Linked DNA regions of Mus musculus. The protein of the gene in region 1 purifies or fractionates together with the protein of each later gene. This does not show direct contact. Links are inferred from orthologs where the notes say so. Each region holds a gene or a part of one and is shown in the gene's direction. Other genes may lie near its edges. The genes, in order: Dnaja2, Llgl1 and Pld2.

The links.
Region 2: the proteins of Dnaja2 (region 1) and Llgl1 purify together in Homo sapiens (co-immunoprecipitation; 3 studies listed by BioGRID and IntAct, with this or other methods). This does not show direct contact. The link is inferred for Mus musculus from reciprocal best matches to the Homo sapiens genes DNAJA2 and LLGL1.
Region 3: the proteins of Dnaja2 (region 1) and Pld2 purify together in Homo sapiens (affinity purification with mass spectrometry; 3 studies listed by BioGRID and IntAct, with this or other methods). This does not show direct contact. The link is inferred for Mus musculus from reciprocal best matches to the Homo sapiens genes DNAJA2 and PLD2.

The regions. Positions count from the first base shown.
Region 1 is NC_000074.6:85,553,020-85,556,766, reverse strand, and holds the start of Dnaja2 (dnaJ homolog subfamily A member 2), read left to right. Parts: upstream 1-1,405; 5' UTR 1,406-1,519; coding exon 1,520-1,597; intron 1,598-2,790; coding exon 2,791-2,850; intron 2,851-3,356; coding exon 3,357-3,580; intron 3,581-3,747. UniProt on the Homo sapiens protein: Co-chaperone of Hsc70. Stimulates ATP hydrolysis and the folding of unfolded proteins mediated by HSPA1A/B (in vitro).
Region 2 is NC_000077.6:60,702,568-60,706,214, forward strand, and holds part of Llgl1 (lethal(2) giant larvae protein homolog 1), read left to right. Parts: intron 1-216; coding exon 217-314; intron 315-2,101; coding exon 2,102-2,183; intron 2,184-2,283; coding exon 2,284-2,414; intron 2,415-3,399; coding exon 3,400-3,555; intron 3,556-3,625; coding exon 3,626-3,647. UniProt on the Homo sapiens protein: Cortical cytoskeleton protein found in a complex involved in maintaining cell polarity and epithelial integrity. Involved in the regulation of mitotic spindle orientation, proliferation, differentiation and tissue organization of neuroepithelial cells.
Region 3 is NC_000077.6:70,550,134-70,553,780, forward strand, and holds part of Pld2 (phospholipase D2), read left to right. Parts: exon of another isoform or gene 1-995; coding exon of another isoform or gene 996-1,046; coding exon 1,047-1,130; intron 1,131-1,252; coding exon 1,253-1,331; intron 1,332-2,320; coding exon 2,321-2,431; intron 2,432-2,564; coding exon 2,565-2,735; intron 2,736-3,201; coding exon 3,202-3,328; intron 3,329-3,647.

The DNA.
Region 1 (3,747 bases):
TTACTGTTAAAAGAAGGCAGAGCCAAGCTCCCAGCTTATACAATCTAATTTCAGGACTTACACTCTTGAATGATTAGGGGTCTTTGTAAAATTCAAAGTCAGAAGAAGGATGATCTGACTTCAACATCTGCCCCAGGGTTATTTTGGCTGATCTGGGTGTGTGGGTGAGTGTTCCCTCTTCTTCTTTGTATGTCCCTTCCTGAAACTGGGTATTTGATCAAGAAGAGAGGCTAATCTTTGGCAAAAGGGTATAAAATAGCTGTGGTCCCCTGCTAGAAACCTCCAAATAAGTCCTGGAAACCAGATAGATAAGCTATATTCTATTAAAGAATTTTGACTCACATGTGAGAACAGCATTCATGTCATAAATCATACTTATCAGGAAAACGAACATCAAATAAGACAGGAAGGTTCACCAGGTTATGAATTAAGGAAAACACTACAGGTTAAGGGGCATTTTGAATAGCAGAAGGAGCATCTAACTTCTCATGAGACTCTTCTGAGCGTTCAGGTTAAATTTCAGAAGTCTTAGCACGGCAGTGAAGGACCTCCAAAACTCGGTCAAGAAGAATAACAAGAAAGGTGTATCACCTCCACTGACAGACTTATGGCCAATGAGCAATTGTTTCCCAGTTCAGGTTTTCAACTGACCAGAAGTGTTTTACTATCGGAAAACCAGTTGGAAGGCAAGCTATACATTCTGGAATGTGGTAAAGCACAGAAATCTTTCAAGCTAAAGCAAAACGAAACTCGACTGACAGCCACCAAGTGCCGGCACGCTGCCATACTGTCTTATGCCAACCAAACCTTTGGCGTTAGCTAATTTTAAAGCTGTCAAGTGAGACACTTGAACACATGATCCCGGTGGAACAGGGTGACTTTGGTTTATCTGGATGCCCCGAAACCAACTGGGAATGTGTAAAAAAGATTTGTCCTTTCCTCCGATGTGACAGGATGGCTATGCCTTTAAAACCTCGTCTGCTAGGTATAAATCTGAGTATTTATGAATGAAATTGTTTCCCCTACGCAGAGGTGCTGAGGGGGAAGTTAAGGAGATGAAATGAGTTAGTGAAGGTGTTGATGAAATCACATCACGGGCGTAACTCGCTATTTGGGAACCTCACACACTCACACCCACGTGCTGTTTTTCACCGTGGCCCCGGGGGGACCACCCCGTGAGGATTCCACGCCGGCTTCTTTCCCTCAGGCCTCAGCCGCACCGAGAGTTCTTTATGAACGCCGCACACCGCTCCCCTCCACTCCGCGGTCGCTCGCGCGTCACGGAGCGGCGACAGGAAAGGGCCCCACCAGCCGCTCTCGGGCGCCCACCGCCCAACCCCGCCCCGCCCGGCCCCGGAGGCGGGGCCTTGTGGCGACGTCATGGCGCTGCGCCGGGTCAAAGTTCAGCCCCGCCTGCCTCCCCGCGCCGTCTCCTCGGCCTGCGCCGCCGCCGCTCGTGGTCCGGGTCGCGCTCCTTCCGCTCCGCCGCCTGCTTGCGAGTGCTGCCCGGCAGGCCGCCATGGCGAACGTGGCCGACACGAAGCTGTACGACATCCTGGGCGTCCCTCCCGGCGCTAGCGAGAACGAGCTGAAGAAGGTACTGGAGCGAGCCGGCCGGCGGGCGGGGCGAGGGCGCGGGGCCTGCGCGGTCTGGGCGGCCTGAGCCGGGCTGAGGCGCGGCGGCGGCGGGGGCGCAGTCGGCTCGGCTGACCTTGGGCCTCCGCCCGCCCGGCCCTGCGCAGACGCGGCCCGCCAGCTCGGCGCCCGGGGCCACCCGGAAAAACAGGTCGGACCGCGGTGCTCGCGCCGCCGGGCCGGGGAGGAGCTGACCGCCGGCGCCGGTGTGGGGCTGAGGGCCGCAGCCCCCGGCGCTGAGCAGGCTCCTCCCTCAGCCTCGCTCGCCCGGCAGCTGGAGCGGCGTGGGTCTGTTTGGAAGCATTGTTCTGTGGGCTGGAGATCTAAATACCCCGTGGCCGCTTCGGGGATGAGTCGTGTGCCCCAGCCAAACACCTGAGCGTGCACTCCCTAAAAATAAGACACGTCTTATTGTTGTCCTTTGTAGTAGTTCCAAATCATCTCGGGACTTGGGGTATTAATAAAGTCAGCATCTTCTCTGGCTGTCGGGATCCAATCCGCATTTGTAAACTGAGAAAAATAAGAATGTCCCGTAAGTACTGGGACTGGTAAAGTCCAAAGAAAAAGACTTCCTGTTACCCTACCGGAAATGGTAGGCTGTGTTATATAATTCATGAGTCTGTGTGAGGACTTACATGGTGCTTAACCACATCGCTTAATTGAAAGTATGTAGTTTCACCACCACCTAAGACCCCAGTTAGCCGACCGTGTGCGAGTAAAACATCACTTAGGACCTCCTGGGTGTCCTGTTAGAGGGCAGGCAGAGGAGCCAGCCAGCATGGGGAGAGATACTTGGTAGAAGTATCCTATGCTTAATTTGTAGTAGTGCTTGAGTTTCTGTAAAACGTAGTCACTCAATCTAAAATTTGTTTGGTTATTGTGGTCTCCTTGGTCTGGCTACTGGCCATCAAAGACATTTGATAATAGTTTGTAAAAAAAGAAAGAAAAAATGTTTCAGTATCTTCTTTGTTGTTTTATTTGTATTTTTCTTCAGTAACTTTGGGTATATTATTAGTAAATACTATTGAAGTGGAAAACGTTAAATAATAAGTGACATTTTTTGGAAGGCTGTAACTTTAGAACATTGCTTCTCAGAAAAGTGAATATCTTAAATTGTTTGCTGTGTATAACTCTTATCCAAAATCTTTTTTGAAGGCATACCGAAAGTTAGCCAAAGAATACCACCCTGATAAGAATCCAAATGCTGGAGACAAAGTAAGTCATTGAGTTTTATTCTTAAACTGAAACTTAAAATATATCACCCTCCCAGAAAGGAAAGTCCATTTATGCCTACAGAGTGAATTTTTCGCTGTTATTTTAATTTACTTGAAAATGACCTTAGTAAAACCTATTGCTTGTAATATTCTTCAAAGATAAGAAAAATTATAGCTATTGAGATAGCTCTGTGTTCCAAGTCTTGCTACCATATAAGCCTGACTACCTGAGCTTAATCCACAATGGAAGGATAGAAAGTTGTCCTCTGACCCCCATACATACTCCCACACTCATATGCATATATAATAGTGATGGTGATAACGGTCAGAGGACTATAGTTTTACAACGAGAATTCTAAGATATTTAGCAGTAGGTGATGAAGAGGACCAAAAGGAAACCAACTGAAACTCAAGGCTTTTTATTGAAGTTAAGTGGCTTCTGAATTTCTGAAGTCTTTCTCACATCCTTACACTAAAAAATCCAATTTTTTTACTTTTACTTTATAGTTTAAAGAAATAAGTTTTGCATATGAAGTATTGTCAAATCCAGAGAAGCGAGAGCTGTATGACAGATATGGAGAACAAGGCCTACGGGAAGGCAGCGGCGGAGGCGGTGGCATGGATGATATCTTCTCACATATTTTTGGTGGAGGATTGTTTGGCTTTATGGGCAATCAGAGTAGAAGTCGAAATGGCAGAAGAAGAGGCGAGGACATGATGCATCCACTAAAGTGAGTCTCTTTAAAAATGCTTCTCCAAACGGTGTTCCTTAGAGGGTGACTACAGAATATTTTGTCCTTTGTTTCAAAGTTCTTACTTTAAAATGTGTTCTTATTAAGTGACATTAATTAGATGTATTTTGCTTCAGGCCTTAAAAGGGTGGAAGGGTGCTCTAGAA
Region 2 (3,647 bases), on another chromosome or scaffold:
GGAAGGACCTGGCCTCACAAAGAGCGGAGAAGCAGGTAGGTAGCACCAGCATCGACATGGACAATACTCAGGTCCCAGGTGCTATCCCCACCTCTGATGGTGCTGGGATTCCTGTTTTCCGGCTCTCCGTGTGGGGAGGTGGACAGCACCTTCTGGGCCAATTAGAAGCAGAAGCCCCAGGGTATTTTGCCCATAGAACCCTTTCTTCCCTCATAGACTGTGGAGCATGGCTTCCCCAATCAGCCCAGCGCCTTGGCCTTCGATCCTGAGCTCCGCATCATGGCCATCGGCACCAGATCTGGGGCCGTCAAGATGTATCCTTTGCTTCTGAGGTGCTGCTCACTTCATGCTGGAGTCTTAGCATGGCAGGTGCTTCATGGAGACAGCTGTGCTTGTTGGGGCTTCTGAAGAGGTCGCTGTGCCTGTGTGCCTGTGATGACTCCTTTCGGAAATGAGAGGGTCTTTTGGTTGGGAGATGGGTGATTGGAGGGGAGGTCGGTTTGCAGTAACAATGGCTGTCCCTTGCTGCCTTTCAGCCTACCAATTCTTAGGTAATCCTACCATCATCTTGGCAGCTGTGACTGGGGCAGTTAGGGGTGGCCTGTGAGCCCTGATGAGAGAAAGAGTACATGTGTACACACACACACACACACACACACACACACAAATACGAAGACCCCATGTGTTCAACCCAGGGCGGGAGGGCAGTGCCAGGCTCAGCATGGTGAGCGCAACACTGCCCCCATCTGGACACCGATGCCATACAATGGGCTGAGTGAGCTGTACAATGCAGGCATTTTCCTGTAGTCCAGGGTGGGGGTGGGGCAACAGGCTGCTGAATGTCTCCTTACTCTGGAAATAGCACCCTAACCTGCCTTCAGGAAAACTTGAGGTGCAGAGTCTGGCTAGAAGCAGCTTGGTAAAGGTGCCCCTCCACCTGCTCACCAAGAGCTGGAGCACTAGGTTGGGGTGGGAATGTGGCTCGTGGTTTATGAGGTAATGTCCCTTGTCAGGGAGTGTGGCTGGAGGGGATGTCCTTCCCTCTGTTGTGGGCCACTGGGTGTTTGGTGGGACAGTTACCAAGATGAGTGCTGCTTGCCATTCGAAGACCCGTGGATGCTATGCTGCTACTCCACTTGCTGTGACCTTGTACTGGGTTAGAGGTATCCACATCAAAGGTGTCCATATCAGAGTTGCCCATGGTCTACACTGCCAGGTGCTTAGAGCTGTCCTTGTGGGTATTGCCCTCGTGCTTAGTATACATGAGGAAGCCAAAGCTAGATCCTCCTTCTCTTCCCTTTTTCCTCTCAATTCCTGTAGCCATGAACTCCTGAGGTTGGGAAACTGAGGCTGGAAAGTGCCACAGTTGGTCTCTAGAGCCTCCCTTCCCCCTGCAGGGCAGTCTCATCTCCCAGGAGACTGTGCTTCCTGCCAGCTGCCCCTGTCCTCTCTTTGTCATCCTTGCCAGCCTCTTCAGGGAGTCCCAGCTCAATATCCAGGCAACTGCTCCTTCCTTGTCACTGGGACAACATCACTGACCCATCTCTTAGCTCTCTTGGGCCCTTTCAGCTTTGCTGGCCTCCATCAGTCCTGGAGTTTCTGGGTCTCGGGGCACTTGTTCAAACAGGTCTCCCGTCTTCTAGTCTGTGCTCATCTGGAAGCTGAGTAGTGGAAGCTGTTGGCTACCTGCTCTGAAGGGAGCTTGGGGTTCTTGACCATGGTCAAGAGTTGTTTGATCTGGCACTGCTCTGTTCTGCTTAGGCCCGTTAACCTCTACTGCAAGGCGCTTGGTCCGTGCAGGTGAATCCGCGGCCTCGTGTGTACCATGCCGGAGCCACAGTGCTGAGCAGGTGATTAGTCTTATTCCATTGGCACCAGCTTTCTGGTTTGAGTCATTGGCCTGCTGTACAGATGAGGGCTTGAAAACCTATATCAGTACCCTACTGGGGGCGCTGTGTGGGTTCTGTGGGCACCTCAGATACAGGAGCAGAGTTGCTTTAGGAAGTGGGGGTCATCAGGAGACTGCCGGACTCCTGGATGGGCAGAGCCTGTCTGACTGTCCTAGCTTGTCTGCACGTTTGTTCTTGACAAGTTACCTTAGCTATGGTGCACCCGGAGTGGAATTTACAGGCCTACATCGGGACGCAGCCACCGTCACCCAGATGCATTTCCTCCCTGGTCAGGTGAATAGCTCCCCTCCTTTACTAGCACCAGGTGGTCCCACCCCCGTGCTCTCCTCCCCTTCAGGCTACCCCCATTTTGGTCTCTGCTCCGTCCCATCAGGGCCGCCTCCTGACCCTGCTAGATGACAGCAGCTTGCATCTCTGGGAGATCATCCATCATAATGGCTGCGCCCACCTGGAGGAAGGCCTCAGCTTCCACCCACCCAGCAGACCCAGTTTTGACAATGCCAGGTACTGGAGGATCAGGCTGGGACTAGCCACTGGGCAGAGGAATTAGAGAGGGCCTATGAGCCTGCTCTGCTGAAGCAGTGCAGACACAGTTGGGCTCTGCTTCAGGAGCCCTGCCTGGATAGAACCCTTCTTGAAGTGGTATCCTTTGAAGATAGGGTTAGAGGTGTGGCCAGCTGAGACTGAGGCCAGTGGGCAGAGACTGTGTTTCCCACCGTGGGAGCCTTTAGTTTTGGGGGTCCCAGTGAATAGAATGTTATATACCCAACTCCTTAGACCTTTAGGCTGGCACAGTACCCTCTAGGGATTTGGGACAGTTCTATGCCAAGGTAATATCAGCAAAGTCTCAGGCTGGCCTTGAATTTTTAGTGATCCTCCAGCCTCAGTCTTCCAAGTGTAGGGTTACTGGTGTGTACCCCCATATTTGACCTTCCTGCTGGTTTCTTGAGTTGGGATCGGCTGGGCCATGGTTGATAGTCGGGAGGGTTCTCCAGGGTAGGCTTGGTGAGGTGCTGGCTGGATGCCTGGCTGTGCATAGCAGGCCGGGCTCCCCAGGTGGAGAGCCTTGCCCTCAGGTGTGCTGGAAATAGCTGCAATGGGATAGACTTTGCCCACAGGTTAGTTTTTCCTGGCCTGGCCTGGTCACTGTTTGGGCCCCTGATGTCTGAGGTATCTGGAAAGCTGGTATTGGGGACCCTGGCTGGGGCAGTGCTCTGATTCTGCCTGAGAGAAGCAGGGTAGTAAGTGATCTGTGAGTCTTTTGGGACCTGGAGAACTTATTTTTATCCCTTTCTTTGCTGGCATGCTGGGGGATAATTGAGTAGGCTAATTACACTGCACATAGCCTTCCCAGGGTGTCAGCCTGTGCTGTGAACAGGCCCTGTGAATGCAGAGAGGCATAAGAGAGCCCATAGAAAGGGTTCAACCTGTTCTGCCTTCCCCAGCAGGTAGATGGGCTCACCTTACTCTCTCTTCCTCTTTCCTGCAGTTTCCCTGCCAGTCTAACACGTGTCACTGTGGTCCTGCTCGTAGCTGGCAATACAGCAGCCCTGGGAACTGAGAGTGGTAGCATATTCTTCCTGGATGTAGCCACCCTGGCACTGCTGGAGGGGCAGACTCTCAGCCCAGATGTGGTTCTGCGCAGGTGAGCAGCAGGCAGGAGGACCCTCCCATTTCTGGGAAGTTCTCCTGACTCTCTGGGGCACTCTCTGCAGTGTGCCAGATGATTACCGGTGT
Region 3 (3,647 bases), on another chromosome or scaffold:
TGGCATTTATTTATTTATTTATTTATTTATTTATTTATTTATTTATTTATTTATATGTAAGTACACTGTAGCTGTCTTCAGACACTCCAGAAGAGGGAGTCAGATCTCATTACAGATGGATGTAAGCCACCAGGTGGTTGCTGGGATTTGAACTCCGGACCTTCGGAAGAGCAGTTGAGTGCTCTTACCCACTGAGCCATCTCACCAGCCCTATTTTTGGTTTTTTGAGACAGGGTTTTCTATGTATCCCTGGCTGTCCTGGAACTCACTCTGTAGACCAGACTGGCCTCGAACTCAGAAATCTGCCTGTCTCTGCCTCCCAAGTGCTGGGATTAAAGGTATGTGTCACCACTGCCCAGCTATTTTTTATTTTTGAGAGACAAGGTCTCACTCTGTATTCCTGGCCAGTCTAGAAATAACTGTATAGACCTGGCAGGCCTTAAACTCACACAGATCCACCCTGTCTCTGCCTTCCAAATGCTGGAATTAAAGGTGTGTGCTACTATGCCCAGCCTTTTTTGCTGCTTTTTAGACAGTCTTACTATGTAGCTCAAGCTTGTTTCAAACTCTTAGTAATCCTCTGGTCCCAGCCTGGAATTACAGGCCTATGTACCACACCCTGCCCTAATTTCTTGTTAATGAGAGAACTGAACTTCTTACCCTGTGACTGCCCATCTTAATATCTGCTATGAGCTGTCAATTCTCAGGCTGCTCATTTTCAGCTGGATTCTGCATTTTTTCTTTGTGTTTGCTTTTCCTTCCTGTTTTCTGGAGCTCTTTTATATATGGTGTATTAGTCCTCCCAATCATTGGTCAGTTTCTTTAATGTATTGTGTGTCTTGTCATGTTTATTTTGCTCCCACTGGCACACCATACCACCATACCGAATAATCCCACCTGATGTATTTGAATGAGCTAACCTCTCTGATCATTCCTGACCTTTGACCCTGCTGTCACCTCTGACCCATGGCTGTCCTCCGGTCTTCACTCTCCAGAACTTTCTGGCTTCTGACTCCCCTGACCTCCTTGGCTTGGACTCCCCCCAGGTTTGTGAATGGGGCAGGTTACTTTGCTGCTGTGGCAGATGCCATCCTGCGAGCTCAAGAGGAGATTTTCATCACAGACTGGTGGTGAGTGAGGTCAGGTCCACCCAAGAAGGGAAGTGGGCAGCAGCACAGCGCAGGGGGGCAAGGGAGGAGGGGCTGTTTGTCTTCAGCATAGCTTGCTCCTTACCCATTGCCCTGGCTTCTAGGTTGAGTCCTGAAATTTACCTGAAGCGTCCAGCCCATTCCGACGACTGGAGACTGGACATTATGCTCAAGAGGAAGGCGGTGAGGAGTGGTTGGCTCTGGAGAGAGGGGTGTGTGTGTGTGGGTGTGTGTGTGTGTGTGTGTGTGTTGTGGGGGGACGTTATTGGAAGGACTGCGGCTCGAATCTTCCAAGGAGAAGATTGGGAATCTGAGGCTTCAAGACTGGGAAACGTACCCCTTCTGGCTCAGTGTCTATCAAATATCACCTCCTGGTTCCCTCTTTAGGGTACTAGTATAGACTAGGCGCCCACTCCTCAGACCCTTCCCTTTTTTGTACTATCTGGGAGTGTAGTGTTTATGTGTCTTTGCTAAGCAACACCACACATTCCAGTACAACAGTACAGCACCTGTCATGCAGCGAGCATTCATGAGCATTTTGGTTTTAAGACAAGGTCTCACTAAATAGCTTCAATGTGTAGATCAGGTTAGCCTCGAACCCATGGAGATCCGCCCTACTCTGCCTCCTGGATGCTGAGATTAGTGTGTGCCCCGCACACTTGGCATTTATGAATATTGACAAGAGGAAGGATCCACGGATGTTGGAGGGTGAATGGATAGACAATAAGAAAGAAAATGGGTGTGGTGGCTCCCACTGGTTATCCTAGCACTTGGGAGATAGAAACAGGAAGACTAGGATATGAATGAAGACTATCTTTGGCTACTACTGCGTATTATACCACTGTGGACTAAACACTGTGTTACAAAGGGGGAAAACAGTGAACAGGGAGATGGCTGGAAAGCTGTGAGTCGGGAAGGTGGAGGTGACAGAGAAGAATGATAGACAGTGGTTAAGATGATGAGCCAATGGTTGGGGAGCCGGCTGGCGGGATTATGAAAGGGAGGTGGGGAATTGAGTGGGCGAGCTCATGTTTGCTGTAAGCATCATTCTGGATGCACGTAGGAGAGCACCCTGGTAGGGTGGAGGGACATCCAGGAATCCTAAGCGTGGGAGTTGGATAAGGGCCACTCAGGGAGAGCCACTAGGAATTGATTTTCCCCCTCACTACCAGGAAGAAGGTGTCCGAGTTTCCATACTGCTGTTTAAGGAAGTGGAGCTGGCCTTGGGCATCAACAGTGGCTACAGCAAGAGGACGCTGATGCTGCTGCATCCCAACATAAAGGTGACGTTCAGGCCTGAGTCCCTTCTACAGCACAGCCACTTCCCGTCCTCTTTAACCCTTCCTCTCCTGAAAAGTCTCATCCTCCATCTTCTCACTTAAACCCTCCCCCATGTGCTCCTTCACCCTACTCTAGGTGATGCGACACCCAGACCTTGTGACACTGTGGGCTCATCACGAGAAGCTCCTGGTGGTAGACCAAGTGGTGGCATTCTTGGGCGGGCTGGACCTGGCCTTCGGCCGCTGGGATGACGTGCAATACCGACTGACTGACCTGGGTGACCCCTCTGAACCTGTACATTTACAGGTAATTGCCCCAGGGCTGTCCTCCACTCCCCACAAACCCAGGTACTCCAAATTTACACCTTTCCTAGAACTGCCAACCCAGCCTTTCAGAGGCTCCAAGCTACTGTGGTGGTCCACATCTGTAATTCCAGCACTAAGGAAGCTCAGGCAGGAAGGATTTCAAGTTTATGGCCAGCCTGGGCTACACCATGGGATCCTATCTCAAAAAACAAAACAAAAACAAAAAACAAAAAAGAAAGAAAGAAAGAAAGAAAGAAAGAAAGAAAGAAAGAAAGAAAGAGAGAAAGAAAGAAAGAAAGGACGAAATAAAGAAAGCAAGCTCCCTCTCTCCCTTCATTTTTACTGACTCTAACTGCAGTTGAAGAGGGAGGCTGAGGAATCAGACTCTCTGGTGCAGTGCACATGCCTTCTCTTTGGCCTGGTCCCATGACCTCACCTTGCCTGGCTGTGGTGTGCTCTTCATACAGACTCCCACACTAGGTTCAGACCCTGCAGCCACTCCAGACCTCTCGCATAACCAATTCTTCTGGCTGGGAAAGGACTACAGCAACCTCATCACCAAGGACTGGGTGCAGCTGGACCGGCCTTTTGAAGGTGAGGCTCCCTTCCCCCAAAGGCTCCAGGAACTGGCAACTGGGACAGAGGATAGGATGAAATGGGCCAGGAACAGTGCTGCCTTCCCTCTGGAAGGCTCCTCCTCTGCATCTTCTTCCTTTTCCTCCTTGTGTTAGTTAGGGTTACTATTGCTGTGATGAAACACCATGACCAAAAGCAAATTGGGGAGGAGAGGGTTTATGTGGCTTATGCTTCCATATCACTGTTCATCACTAAAGGAAGTCAGGACTGGAGCTCAAGCAGGGCAGGAAACTGGAAGCAGGAGCTGATGCAGAGGTCATGCAGGGATGCTGCTTAC